Schizosaccharomyces pombe: one gene and its partner. The protein of the gene in region 1 interacts with the protein of each later gene in a pairwise test. Each region holds a gene or a part of one and is shown in the gene's direction. Other genes may lie near its edges.

Evidence for each region.
Region 2: the proteins of SPOM_SPCC191.05C (region 1) and wat1 interact in a two-hybrid assay, tested with the Schizosaccharomyces pombe proteins (one large-scale study listed by BioGRID).

Annotation. Positions count from the first base shown.
Region 1 is NC_003421.2:1,710,059-1,717,952, reverse strand, and holds SPOM_SPCC191.05C (nucleoside 2-deoxyribosyltransferase), read left to right. Parts: upstream 1-4,419; 5' UTR 4,420-4,998; coding exon 4,999-5,634; 3' UTR 5,635-5,998; downstream 5,999-7,894. Other genes in the region: ribosome biogenesis protein Lto1, read right to left, coding at 798-1,202; cyc1 (cytochrome c), read right to left, coding at 2,889-3,218; SPOM_SPCC191.06 (uncharacterized protein), read right to left, coding at 3,398-3,814; SPOM_SPCC191.04C (uncharacterized protein), read left to right, coding at 6,129-6,431; SPOM_SPCC191.03C (uncharacterized protein), read left to right, coding at 6,659-7,012; acs1 (acetyl-CoA ligase), read left to right, coding at 7,731-7,894.
Region 2 is NC_003423.3:1,659,997-1,667,517, forward strand, and holds wat1 (TORC1/2 complex WD repeat protein Wat1/Lst8), read left to right. Parts: upstream 1-2,944; 5' UTR 2,945-2,950; coding exon 2,951-3,895; 3' UTR 3,896-4,364; downstream 4,365-7,521. Other genes in the region: myosin-binding vezatin family protein Inp2, read left to right, coding at 867-897, 958-1,070, 1,125-2,393; vacuolar transporter chaperone (VTC) complex, GTPase regulator subunit Nrf1, read left to right, coding at 4,586-4,954; SPOM_SPBC21B10.15 (uncharacterized protein), read right to left, coding at 5,626-5,753, 5,867-5,921; ath1 (ataxin-2-like protein), read left to right, coding at 7,063-7,521. UniProt on the Schizosaccharomyces pombe protein: component of both TORC1 and TORC2, which regulate multiple cellular processes to control cell growth in response to environmental signals. Nutrient limitation and environmental stress signals cause inactivation of TORC1.

The DNA of each region.
Region 1 (7,894 bases):
GCTTATAATACATTTTTAGAAAGTTGCACATTTCACATACAAAATTTTTTATTTATTGCTATCCTGGTATCTATATAGTCGATGAATATTTATTATTTTTATTTTTTAAATCATTAATTGTATGGTAAACTGGGGAATTGTAATGATGTTTAACTTGTTACGATGTCTTTATTTTGTGTCTATAAACTTTTGTTCTAATGTACAACAAACTTATTAAACTGGACAAGCAAGTAATTATGCCGGGGAAATGTCTATACATAGGATTATCATATACACAGCAGCAGCTAATGTGCTAATTCATGAACGCATATGGCAATCATAAAGCGGATGTTTAATATTTGATCCTTTTCTTTTATTTTCTACGAACATTAATGAAATCATCAAATTGCCATAAGAACAAAGCAATATTATGGGGATGCCATCCAGTCAAACACACCTACTAGAGTTAAAAGAGACAGATGCTAGTACTCATTAACTGGAAAAACTTGGCTGACAAGAAAAAAGATCTTGCGGTTTTAATTTCCATCTTAATGTACAAAATGTTTTATTTAGCTTCCAAAACGTTTCTAACCATAACGGATGAAGAAATTGATTCCATTCAGAATGAATTAGCCAAAAAAAAAAACGACTATTCACTCACTACATGCAGCTTTCTTTCGAAGGGAGATATTGTCAAGAAAAAGAACAAATGCCAGGATATCAGATATAATCTGCTAAAATATAACATAATCAATCATGTAAAGTGAATGTTTTCAGGAATATTAAATACCTTCCATAGTATATTTGCTCTGAAGACATTACTCAAAGCCATCATTAGCATCAATTTTTTCAGCGGGAAGAATCTTAGTTCCTAAAAGACTCGATACCACTTTGGCTTTGGCTGTAATTTTGTTCCAGTAAGAGTCAAACCCAGCATCGGTCTCCTCCAGTTCATTGTTGGTGGGCAACGACTCTAATAACGATTTCAACTGTTCTAAATGCCTATGTGCCTTTTTAATTTTAGGATGTTGTGAATTTTCTTCTTTCAACCAAAAACACACGCGTCCATAAATTTCACCCGCCAGTAAATATTTGTTATAAGCATGCTCGAGTCCAAACAAAAATGCTTCCTCATACCCTTGCTCAATTCCCTTTAAAATTCCTTCATCATAACCACGTTTGTACTCATTTTCTTCCAATTTGGTCACTTCCTCCCAGTCCATGCGGCAGTGTCGTTTTGTAATAATTTTTGCCAAAAACTGAGAATTTGCAACTTACAGAGGATTAGCGGCTAACCTTATTAGATACAGCACAACACAGTGATATATAGTTCCTGCAGTATAATGTCAGCAATACTACACTACGCTATAATACACTACGTTGAGTATCACTATATGTCACATGTTCTAATTATATATCGTACCATGTATGATACGATATGGAGATTGATCTTAATGATAATCTATTAAGATCAATATTATCTGAATACTATAAATAGAGCTACTGCTGAACCTCGTTCCTCAGTTCAGTTATGAGCTATATTAGTGATAGGTAACATTATAACCCAGTTAATACAATACCTATACTCAGTTGCTACTTATACAACCTGTGTATTGTAATATAATAGATCACAAGGAAAACTCACCGCAGTTCTACGTATCCTTAAATCAGATACCAAACTGCGTAGCTTACATATAAAAACGAATAACAAAGAAGAATTATATCGCCCTAAATGAATTTATGGTATTCGTTTGATATCCGATATTTCTTTAATTTCAAAATCGCAGCATTGACATCTCTAGTGTAAATCTCATTTACTTTGCCTATAGCAGTCGATAATTCATATAGAACATACTTTTTTTCTTTTTTTAAATCTAAGTCTAATATTTTGTTTCAAGTACAGGAGCTAGTAAAGTATATCACATAAGTTTCAATTGGCAAGTGTTTACATTGCGAATAACTGCAGTGTTTCCTTGCTACTTTTAAACGCACAGTCTAGTTACATACAAAGATTAATTAATTTTCAAATATACACAACACTTGACTGTCCTCAATTCTTTACACTAAAACCTTATGCATGCGCGTTGAATATTGAACTACCGGAGAGCAATCTCAGAGGGCTCTGCAGCCGTCAATTGCAATATACTGAAACTAATTAAAAAAAAAAGAAAAGGGTGAAAGGTATGAAAACTTGAATATCATAAAAGATCCATAGTTGTAAAAACAACATAGAATTAGCTAAAAAAGAGAGCTATGATTAATTTTGGTTTGTGTGTACGATCTGGATGGGAATTGATCGACCACAAAAGAGAGGGGAGTATGGTTGTGAATGGGAATACGATAGAGTAGAGAAAGGTGAAAAACAAACAAACCCAAACTCACTGAAAACCAATCAGCTCAAAAAACCTTAAGTAAAGAAAAGCAAAGCATCAGAAAGCATAGGCATCAATGAAAATCAATTCGAAACTGAATCTTGCTCAAATGAATTGACCAAGATACACCAAAATATGCAGGAAGCTAAAAATTCAAAAAGCAGAGGGGAGTTGATGGGGAAGAACCCGGTGGGCCCAGGAAATAAGCTTTTGGGAACTCCGAATAAAAAAACTGGTTCACGGTATAGGAATTGCGGAATTTTTTTTTTTTTTGAAAAAGGTTGTCTAATAGAAAAAGAGAATAGAAAAGGAATAAATGAAAAGAAGGAGACCAATTCCAAAGTAAGAATTTATATCAAACAATTCATGTTCCTATGCTGCTCGTTTCCATGTTGTTTTATTTTTTTTTGGTAAACGCAATCAATCAATCAGTAACGTGACAGACACAAAAGCAAATTGGGAATTACGAATTCATAAAGCATATCCCAACGGCATTACGCCAACACTTGCAACTGTCGTTGACGGCCATCACCCCATTTACTCAGAGGTGGCCTTCTTCAAATACGTAATGACGTTGTTACGATCAGCCGGTTTCTTGAAGCCAGCAAAGGCCATCTTAGTACCGGGGATATACTTCTTGGGGTTTTCGAGGTAGGCGAAAAGAGTTTCTTCATCCCAAGTAATACCCTTATCGCGATTGGCTTCGGTGTAAGAGAAACCCTCAGCTTGACCGGTCTTACGGCCAAATACACCGTGCAAATTGGGACCGACCTTGTTGGCGCCGCCTTTTTCAACGGTATGACATTGAGCGCAACGAGTCTTGAACAGGGAAGCACCCTTCTTTTCGTCTCCAGGAGCGTAAGGCATTTTGAATTAATAAATTGCTAAGGAAAGGAAATAGGCTTAAGAGTTTAGTATTTGTAGAGAAGAAGATTTAAAAACCACAAATTCACAGCGAAGTTAGTGAGAAGATGTACGTTGAGAGTAAGTTGGGATGCGGTGGAAGTCGACCTTTAAATTTATTTTTTCGCCCTTATTTCATTGGTTCATGAGCTCTCCGCGGAATGACATGGCGAGCCAATCCAATGTTTACCTTTTTTGCGTGCGATAACCTTCGTTAAAGTAAAAACAGGATTTGGTGATGACGAGCAGACCGTATTAAACATAATTAAGGTTGTATACCGTGTCTGAAAATAAGGAAAATAGATATCGTTAGAGTGCAGTAATCGTTGGAAAACTGGAATTGGCTGATATGCAATGATTTCCGTAGGCATGCAATGCATCTTCCAAGCATGTGTGGATTGGTCTTTGGGATATGAATGGATTCTTAGAGACGGAAATCGCCAGTCAAGATGCATTGATGGGGATGCATAGCGTAGTACGAAAAATTGGGTGAAATATTGATGCAATAGGATAGATGAAAAATCGTAGACAGAGCAAGAGAGAATGAATAGATGAGACATGGGAATACACCATTGGATATTACACTCTAGTAAATACCTTTTGGTGTGTACACTTTGTTCTGCGCATATTTTTTGGTAGTTGAAAAATTCAAAGAAGCATTTGATCGCACTTTACTTAATCCTGCGAATACAAGGTTAGTGTGACATTTTAAAGAAAACAATTAAATAGGATTATGGAAATAGTAAACAGGAACTTACCTGAACATCGTTTTGTTTAGTCTATGTGTTGTCATTATTAAGCGACGATTTCTTAAATCATATAGTAATAGACAGACACTGTGTGACAATGAAACAAAGTAGAAAATAATTGGTAAGATCAAAGTATGAGAATCCCATTTATCTAGTAAATATAGTTCATTCATATGTTTCGTCTTTTATACAACCACAACAAAATGAATGGGATCTAGAAATTTTTTTCTGCAAAATGTGATTTTCTCCAAAAAGATTTTAATCCATCACAAAAGACTTTCCCATTGAAAAACAAATTTCAGATAAATCCAATAGAATCGAACAAAAAAAGTAAAAATAAATAAAACGAAACGCTTTCCCAGCCTAGTGCTTCAAGCCGCTGCTCTAAACCTGATACACACACACACACACTCACTACCAACCAACTAGCATTTCCTACATTACCTGATTTTTTCGATTTCTTTTTTCTTTCGGTAAATTGGGAAATTCGTGGTAGTTTAGATGTTTCCCTAAATACAGATATAAAAAAGATTGTCTGAGCTTATTGTTACCAGATAGGAGCAAAGGCTGATGGAATGGATAGATAGGGAAGGAAGGTGTATAAAAATATGACAGACCGATGAAAAATGCCTTATCTTGATAAACTAGACAACGAGAATGTTTGAGTATAAGAATAGTAGAGATGAAATCATTTTAAAACAAACACCCTTTGTTAGATAACATTCGTAGGAAAATTGCAATCTTTTTCCTTGTTTTTGGTATCAACATTGAAATTTAATACAATTTACTACCATATATTCGTATATTGAGAAGTAATATCTTTGTATTTCTTGATATTTTACACAAGGGTTACTTTTAAAATCTTGTCTTTGTGTTTACAAGCGTTGATTTCTAGAAACGTACAAAACGACGCTTAGGATATTTTTCGAATAGTCATACTTTTTTTTGTTTTTTTTTTTTTTTTTTCGTATACTCGTTCTACGAATATTGGCAAAATGACTGGTACGGCAAAGGTCAGTATCCCTAAAGCGCAACCTCACAAGGTGCCCTGTGTGTACTTGGCAGGAGACCTCGTGTTTAGGCCTAATGCCATTGAGCTGTTTGATGAACTCAAGGAAATCTGCAAGGACGCAGGGGTGCAAGGAGTTGCACCGTTTGATGGCCAAGAAGGTGTGGAGGAGATGGCTCCTGGAGCGGAAACGAGTTTGAAGATTGCGGAACTCGATCGGAAATTGATGGATCGTTGCGATGGAGGGATTTTCTGCCTTGATCCATTTCGACGTGCCCCAGACATGGATCCAGGCACGGCAGTGGAGCTTGGGTACATGGCCGCTCAAGGAAAACCGTTGGCCGGCTTCACGACCGATGGCCGTATGTATCCAGAAAAAGTCAGGTCGTACCGAAAACAGGCATGGGGCGACGCTTTGAAGCCTCGATTCACCAAAGGCGGTAGTGGTAGCATGGAAGATGCAGACGGCTTGATCGTACACTCTGAGGGATTCTTGCAAAACGTGATGACTGAGGGATTTATCAGAATGTCAGGAGGTTTTGTCGCCGTCGATTTTAGCATTCAAGAAGCCTTTCGAACTGCCATTAAGGATCTAGCTGCCAGATTGAACAGTCAGCATTAGCCGACCATGAGCAGTCAACACTAGCTGTCGGTCATGCGGTGGGAAGAAATGCTATATATGTCGAAATATTTATGTTGTAAAAGACCATGCTTGACTAAGAAATGTTGCGCGATTCTCATGCAAACAATAATTTATTCGCCGAAAACAAGCTTTGGCCGTTCTAACCACTTCTAATCGATAGGTGATAGAAAAGAAAACGACAGTAGTGAAAAGACGAGAAAAGTTAGAGAAATGAATGATAGGAGCTTTATTGAATCAATGTTTTTGCCAGGAATTGCGACGTCTACTAAATTATCACGCTTATTGAGCCAATGTCCTACAATACCATATACGCTATTAGATCCGTAGAGAATGAAAACACGAGTTCATTTAAAAAAAAAAAATTCAACCACACAAATAATCTATTCTTAACTATCATGTCTATTTTGTAAAGTTTGTACAAATACCCCATCTACGCTATATAGTTTTCATTATAAGCAACATATCATTTTCAAATGCATTCCGTTTGCAGCATATTCTTATCATGTTCTCATAGAGTAATCCAAGCCAAGCATCCTCCGTTTCCACTTTTCCATTCCTACTTTCATATTCCTGACTTCCTTTCTTTTGTGTTCCCGTTTGTCGCATCCCCTCCATTGGCTTTTGCCCGTCGGAAACTTGACCACGTGCCAAAAAAATTTGCGCGCTCAATTGGCCCTTTTCTTCTCATTGTATTTTTGTTTTTTAATCTTTTCCCGACATTTTTCTTCTTGCCATTCTTTCCCGACACAACCAAACGACCAAACTTGGCCGACTGACATCTCGTCTATTTGTGAACCCATTCAATTCTTGCTTTTCTATTAAGTGTACCCGATATTGGTATCAAATCCAGGGTAATCGACCTTTTCAAATTCAATTCTGTAATTTGTTTTACAAATAAAAATTTCTGTGTTGGTGTTTATTTACTTTTCCAATATCGCATGGTCACTTTTGCTAATGACTCGTTTGTCGGTGTATTGTAACTCACTTCGTTGGCTATCGTTTAATGCGTAGTAACAATTCCTCACTAGTCCATTGTTGTTGGGTGTCCCCACCATCACTCACACGTCTACCAGCCTTCCCAAGCCCACGCATCCTATCTCCTTGCTATTGCTACAATAAACGGATTCGTCCTTTTCGCGGCTTAACCTCATATCGTCAAGCTTCCTACTCCTTGGGTTTTCCATTAGGTCTACTTGTATTCTTGCATAGTTTGATAGTTGCTCGTTTTTTCGTAGCATCAAAAAGCAGATCTTGTATCGTGAGATCCCTTCTTTTTTGGATAAACTTGGATTCTGCGGATTCCCGGATTAGTGTTCTCTTTCAGTGCTTCTTTTGTATTGATATTTGGACCGTGTAGAACGAAAAAAAAGAAGAAAAAAACACCCCATTCGAAACTGCAAAGTTAACTCCTCGGACGTCGAACGTTAAGCGATTTCCTACTTACCGTCGAGTTAGTTGTCTGTTCAAAAACCTAACCACACAAACTTTCTGAAGGATTTTGGATTTTTGTCGAATCTTTCTTTTGTATTTTTCGTAAGTTGCTTATCGGTGGAATTCGTATTTGAACTCTATCGTCCTCTTAAAATCGAGCCTCTTAAATTCTCATTGCTTTGTCTCTGCTGCTTATGCTTGAACTGCGCTTTGGGATGGCCACGTGAGGTTCGTAAACACGAGATTTCCTTTCCCCCTCCACCTTATTTCTTTATCTTTTTTCCTTCCTTACTAATGTCTGCTAATGTTTAGATTATTACCTCGCATTTTAAAGACTAAATCACTTTTTATCAGTTGTAAACTGTGTTCTGTCTTTCGTTTCATAACTTTCGTTGAAATCATTTGGTCGTAGAGTACAAGGAAACGAACTTCTCGTCTCCTACTTTTATTTTTCTCGTTATTTTCTTTTTCTAGCGCTCTTTTCTTTCCCCTTATATTTACCTTTCATTCTCTTCTAAAGGTTCTTCATCGTTTTTAGTGATACCTTTGAAAGCTTATTTACGGATTGTAAGGTTTACCATACAGTTTTATTGTTTTTACAAGTTCTTATATTTCCTCAATTTTGATATTTACTTTTTTTTATGATGACGAAAAATCCTGTCGATCACACACTCATTATAGAACCTCCGGTTCGTCTTCATGGCGATCCCACCGTCCCTAAACCTAACATTGCTAGTTTGGATGAGTATAAACGTATGTATGAAGAGTCAATTAATGACCCATCCACTTTTTGGGGTAACATGGCTCG
Region 2 (7,521 bases), on another chromosome or scaffold:
ACACAGTGTTAAGTTTTTATTTCATTGAAGAGACAGATTATCATCGTAATTTAATGAGATTTCAATATTATTGATCAGCTAACTTTGTTAATTTAGCTATACTGGTGACTTTCATAACCTTTGTTTACTGAATTGCAAACATCTTCTACTAGCAGGTGGGAAAGCATGGTTCGCTAAGAATTTACTAATGGTTATCTTATTAGATCTTTATTTCATTGCCATTTAAATCGCAACCAAATCTTATCTCCATCTGTATATACAATATTACTGTATTGCTCTCATGTATCAAATCGTGTTCAAACTGCAAAAATCGCTTTCCGTTCATTTACCATTCTCAGGAAGAATTAGCAGTTCTACGAATCATATCCTTCCTTTCACCTCAAACTAATTTGATGCAACGAGTTATTCATTTTAACCTTGAAATAATTTTCTATCGAAGCTTCTCTTTATACTTTTCTAACACTATTTAGTTTATAAAAGTACTTTGTATATAGTCAAGGCGAATATTTCTGCAAAATAAACATATACTATCAAATCTTTTACCATCACCCTGCGCATCCTTAACAGTTTTACGGAATTCAAACATTTCCCTTATGAACATTAGCGGAAAAACAGCGTAATTTGAGCGGTATTATTTAGTTTTGAAGATTAACGGTTTACGCGTTTTATTTTCGTGAAGTGTGATTTTCATTTACCATTATCCTGAAGTGCAAACCCTCATTGATTTTAAGTATTTCTATATGATTTTAAACTACAATTAAGTTGCTGCTTAAAGCATATTGTTTGTCATTACATCTGTATAAAAAATTCCTGTCTATCAGGGTGTCGCAAGCAAAGCCTTTCCATGTTTGGCTGAACGGTTTGATATGAACGTAGATACTCAACTATCTCGCGATGGTAAGACAAAAGCTTTCCTGTTCTTTTCGACTTTCTTTCTTGTCTGACACAATACACTAGGGTTGTATTCATCTCTGAGGACTCGATACAAAGTGTATATTTCCATGCACGCTTTTGCTATATGGCATCGGTTTATCTCTTTTTTGGCAATTTATCTATGGCCTTGCATAATGGTTAGTCTGATTTTATAGTTTGAGTTATTGTAATATGCTAATGAACATTTTCAGGGGTCGGTTAATCTAAACTTACAAGATCGAGAAAACGAATATTTTTTTGACAGCATTCAGTACATTATTTATACATCTGAACTCCTCGTAGGAGATCACGAGCTACAGCGGTCACATCATGAAGAACAGCCTTCTTTGGTTTATCCTTCTTCATCGTTCAGTTCTACGAGCAAGTTTTGGAGATACTTCGCCTATCTGCTGAGCTTACAAATTGTAATAGATTTTGTTTTATACAAATTATCATCTGCAATGGCAAGTCTTCATTATCTAAAGTTTGTGAAGATAATAGCCTTATCTTATATTTGCTTCTCTTCGCTCATACGGATTTGTCATTGCTGGACATATTTTATTCGTATTATGGGATTATCCAGCTTAAATAAGTTTGTCAATCTATTGCATGATTTTGAAACTACATCTAATCGTGTTTACTCCCAAATTTGTGAATTGGAAGCAAATTCGGCAGCAAATCGCTCCCGGTTAATGGACTTCCTTCCTGCCAATGATCCTTTATTGTTTAATCTTACGGAACAAAATACTTTAAGTTACGAACTGTCTGGTTTGTATGAGAAGCTTTTACCTAGATACCAGCTGGTTCTGTCAAGAATATATCCGTATGCAGCTGCTTCCAACCTTAGAAACCTATTATCACTATATAGACTTCCAAATTGCTTTGGTAAATTAAATTCGTTTGACCTCCGAAAAGGTTCCTCAACAAGCTTAAAACGGAGTTCCATGTACCTAGCCCGTAAAGAAAACCAAGACTTTGATGACCAATCCACCCAAATTCTCAATCACATCAAAACTGCTTATTATGAATTAACTATAATCTCTAAGCAAGTTCTATGTTGCATACTATCGTTTCCGGTTGATTCATTTTTAGCTGAAAGGTCTTCATGGCTCATTGTTCACCGGGAGGTAGGTGACCTCTCTAATGCATTGTCTGTGTCGATGGTTCGTCTCGTTGACATCTTAAAGTTTTCAGTTGAATCGGTCAACCGTAATCAACATAACACTACTAGCAAACCTTTCCCCAGGATCATGTGCAAAGAAAATTTGCGCAGTCTTTTTAACGAGTTGCACTCTGTAATGATGGAAACTCATGAGTCTATCAGCTCATATATTCAAGAAGGAGACAATACAGCTATGCAGACATATGCTATGGATGAATATGATCAAGTTGGTTTACTGCTCAAAGATTTGCTCTCTGAATGGGACTTTAATAGAGCACTACTTCTCAACTTGCAACACATGCACCGAAAGCGTAAATAATTTTGGCTTTCAGAATTTTAAACCATATTTTGCTTTTATGATCTTTTTTATCCATTATTGTCCGTTTCTGTTATACGTCTTTCGGAACCTTGTTGGTTTTAATAGTTAGGATAGTTATTATAAACTATTTACAAATCGACATTTATCTAGGTTTAAATGTCGTTCAACTCAGCAATGATGTCTTTGTTGCTTAAAAATTTGCCTTAACCTTTCGTCCTGTATAATATTTTAGTTATACCAGTTTATCTTTACACTTATGCTTATGCTACTTATTGCAGGCGCAATTTTTTAAAAAATTAAATTAACATGAATTTACTATTATTCTATGAATTTTCCTGTTTTTATGGTCAAAACTGTTAAATTTTTTAAAGTTTTGATGGCTGTAGATTTAAAGTATAGATCGCCAATCGTGCGTTTACAAGTCATGCTACAAAAAATTTACTAAATATATAATATAAACATATTTAATTGATTTTAAAAATTTTCAGTCATTAATTCTCTCTGTATTCGAGTTTGTTTAATAACTACAGTATAACAGCGCTCCATTCTTTAACCACATGTCAGTACAGTATCCACCACAACATTCTGTTCTGCTCGTCAGCAGTGGATATGACCATACCATTAGATTTTGGGAAGCCCTAAGTGGAATATGCTCGAGAACAATACAACATGCGGACTCTCAGGTAAATCGTTTATGTATTTCACCTGATAAGAAGTTTCTAGCAGCCGCCGGAAATCCTCATGTAAGATTGTACGACATAAACACTAGTAGTCAAATGCCATTAATGACCTTTGAAGGGCACACCAATAATGTTACAGCCATCGCTTTTCATTGTGATGGTAAATGGCTTGCCACATCGAGCGAGGATGGAACAGTAAAGGTGTGGGATATGAGAGCCCCTTCAGTTCAGCGAAACTATGATCATAAATCTCCTGTTAATGACTTGTTAATTCATCCAAATCAAGGTGAACTGCTTTCATGCGACCAAAGTGGACGAGTTCGTGCATGGGATTTAGGAGAGAATTCTTGTACACACGAACTTATTCCGGAAGAAGATGTACCTATGAGCAGCATTACTGTTGGATCTGATGGTAGTATGCTTATTGCTGGGAACAACAAAGGAAACTGCTACGTTTGGCGAATGCTAAATCATCAGGGTGCTTCATTGCTTCAGCCCGTTGTCAAATTTCAAGCTCATCAGCGTTATATCACTCGCTGCGTCTTGTCTCCTGATGTCAAACACCTTGCTACATGTTCTGCCGATGCTACAGTGAATATATGGAGTACGGAGGATATGTCATTTATGCTTGAGAGACGACTTCAAGGGCATCAAAGATGGGTTTGGGATTGTGCGTTTTCTGCTGATTCTACCTACTTAGTAACCGCATCTTCTGATCATGTTGCAAGGCTTTGGGAGTTATCGAGTGGTGAAACAATCCGTCAGTATTCGGGTCATCACAAAGCTGCTGTTTGTGTTGCTCTTAATGACTACCAAATTTAAGTGTTTCAAAGCATTTTTCAAAATAAGTTTACGAGTTATGTTTTGTTGTATTTTTAGCTCAACTGATGTTGGAAAATTACTTCTATATATTCAAGTTTATTACACGCCTTTATCCTATTTTACCTTTGCTATATAGATTTTATTCACCAATCTTCTTAGGAAAACAAGAGTCTTGTCTTGTCAACATTCGTTTATATTAAGTGTGTCTGATTTCAAGACGATTTCTTAGTCACTTACAAATTTTTTATAAATTATATTCTTCCCTTGATACAGTATTTGCTAGTTTCATATCTCGGAGTTTTTATGATAAATAATAGTCTTAAGTGATGATAACTTTTGAAAATTTTCAATGCTTATTAGTGTAGTTTAACTTATTTTACAACTTTTATCTCTAAACATGATAGGATTAAGTAGGAAAAGTTACATATCCTCGTGTCCTTAAATGAAATGAAATGTATATCTTCATTAGCTTTCTGGTTAGCGAAGAAGCGAATTTGATAATGCAAAATTTGAAGAATTTAGTCTCGCTAAATCTGCTAATTAACTTACCGAGACTTACCGTAGTAAGATACGAAAAAAATTTCTAGGCCGTTCGACACAGCTGACCTTAACCACAACTCACAGCCAGCACATACTTAATCTCGCGAGGAGAAAAAACCTTCGATTTATAGCTCACTCTTTCCACTAACAATGTCTACTCAACCTCTTTTACAAACTACTCCTGGTAAAAGAATTGCTCTTCCTGTTCGTGTTGAACCTAAAGTTTTTTTCGCTAATGAACGTACTTTCCTTTCTTGGTTGAGCTTTGCAGTAGTTTTGGGTGGTTTGTCAGTTGGTTTACTTAACTTTGGTGATCGAATTGGTAAGATTAGTGCAGGACTTTTCACTATTGTTGCTATTGGTACCATGGGTTATGCTCTTGGTATTTACCACTGGAGAGCATCTGCTATTCGACGACGCGGAAGTGGTCCTTACGATGATCGATTGGGACCTACCATTCTCTGCTTTGTTTTGTTGGCAGCTATTATAACCAACTTTGTTCTTCGTATGTTATTTTGAAAGGATTAAGTCCATTTTTTGGAGATTTTTTCGCGATATTTCAGCCTTATCGTCTGAGCATAACTTCACAAATATGAAAATGAGGATTCCTTACTCTCCATTCCAAGTTTTTAAGCTTAGTGTTTGATAGGCTTAAGTTCTTTTAAACATATATTTTAGATTATCAATTTATTTAGTTTCCTCGTAACATGTAAAGTTTTTACATTATCTGACAATCTTTATTGAAGGCTGCAAAGATGAAAGGCCCTGGAAACGTTATGACACTGAATTGAAAGATTATTTTTTTAATGCCTGGAAAGTGATTTTTTTTTTCAGTAGGTCGTTACGGAACCCCCCTTATCATTTATCTGTTGTTTCCTTACATTTGTTTTGCTTCCTTGAGCGTCGCTTGTTAACGCAGGAGGAGAGAAATACTAGTTTATTATTTATAACTTATTCTACATATTGTTGGATTAATATGTCTCGCTTTGTTATATAATGGCTCCGGTTTAAGGCTTTATTTTATTTTATTTTATTTTAATTTTTAATTACTCAGCGTTTTTATTATATAGTGTTATTTTTGGGATTGCCGGAATTACTACATGGACTAGGAGGTTATTTTATTTAATATCTTTGCATCGCTGTCTGTGGACAGCTTTGACATTGGCGTCGAAATTATAGTAAATATTTCATTATTTGTTTTCTTTTGAAGATTTTGCATTTTCAAGCTGTTTCGCCTGTTCTTGCTTATACAATTTAAAGTACTCTCTTTTTTTATTATTTAAATCGTTTTTAAGCACTAGAAATGATATAGGGCCGACTGCGTGAGTTAGTGAAAAAAGCAATTATAGACAAAAATATATATATTAATTTATTCTCTTAAAGAACTTTGAAACCTGAATTACTTCAGTTTTATAGTATCAATAAACATACCAGTAATGAATATTCCAAAAAATGTGAGTAGTTGTCCTTTTAAGCTCATACCCATCGTGAAAAATTAAATTGTAGGATTCAAATACTGAAAGGTTATAATGCTTGCAATAAAATAGCTTTGAAAGGACGAAACCAAAACTTTCGACGTTTAATTGGGTTATTTGCTCACGAAGCCGGTTCAAGTGATATCTTCTTTTTGCAGCCCGATGTTAACTTCTGAAGTGTTAATAGTTAATGGTCACTAAGGTATCGTTATAATATGAAACAAAAACTGCAGTGTCTTGGAAAGAGAGTGGTTTAAAGGGGCTATAGAATTCTGATAGAACAAATTCAGAAGTTTAAACAAATATTGGTGTAAATGGGATTTTTAACTTATAAAATCTCGTAGTGTCCTTGGTTGTCTATTTTGACGTAAAATATGTGCCAGTTTTCAAGCCTTTTATTCTTAGTATACTAATCATTTGCAAATGAAAAGTGTTTTTTGTAAAGCATGTAAGCCGATAACCCTTGATTAAGGCCAATCTAAACTTTCCAAGCTACAAAGAATAAGTTTTTTTTGCGGTTGTAGGTTGCTTTTGAATCAATTAATGTCTAAAGTTTACTCAATTAAGAATTGCCTGTTCACTTTAACGGAATTTCCGTATTATGTATTGACCTTTGTCTTATTGTATTGTAGAATAAGTCATCCAGACATAGTACATGAATTGTAAAGCCATACATTGCTACATAAACTACAGCTTAATTCAAAAAATTGCATCTGTTATCGTAAAAAAAGCAAATAAAGCGTTTTGAATCAGTAAATTATCAACAGTACAATTGCTAATTTATCAATACATTCTGCGAAGAAAATAGAGTATGACCGCATTTGCCACCTGCAGCCTTTGGGTGGTTAGTGCTCTGCAAAGTAACTGAATCTATATGAAAAAAAAAGGTACGAACCTGAAAATATATTATGCTACGACTTTGAAATTTAAAATTAAAAAAATTCAATTATTAGGAATGGTAGCATTCATTTGATTTCCTCTATGGTGTAAGCCTGGTGTCATGCGCCATTCGCCCAGTTACCTAAAGGTTACACTTCACTTTTAGTTGCTTCTACCTCCAACCTCCACGGAATTACTCAAATTTCAGTTGGGCACTGGGAGGTTGCAAATCGAGAAATTGCAAGAGTATCTGAGGACACTCAAGTAATTCTGATGGCAACCCGTTCTGTCAGCATGAAACAGACCTCGCAACGCGCTGCCAGCCCTAATAAAACTCAGGGTGCCAAAAAATGGTCAGCAGTTGCTGCTAGAGGAAGCAAAATTGCTCAGTCTGCTACGAATGATCATCGTAATGTAGAATCTATTAAAGTAGTACCTGAAAATAGAGTCAGAGGGGGAGTTGCTGCTAAAGCCACCGACTCATCTTCCAACGTTACCTCGTTGGCCTCTTCCGAGGAAAATGTTTCGAGTGTTTCTGGTTCTGCGAAATCAAATAATTCTCAGCAAAGAGTTTGGAAAACAGATGTAGCTATTTCAGCAGAAAAGCGCACTGAAACTCGTCAACGAGAACTCCGTCGCTGGATGCCAGATCCGGAAGATGCAGGTGTTCCTCTAGCTGGTTTAGAGGAGTCTACTGATAATGTTGAATGGGATCAATTTGCTACAAATGAA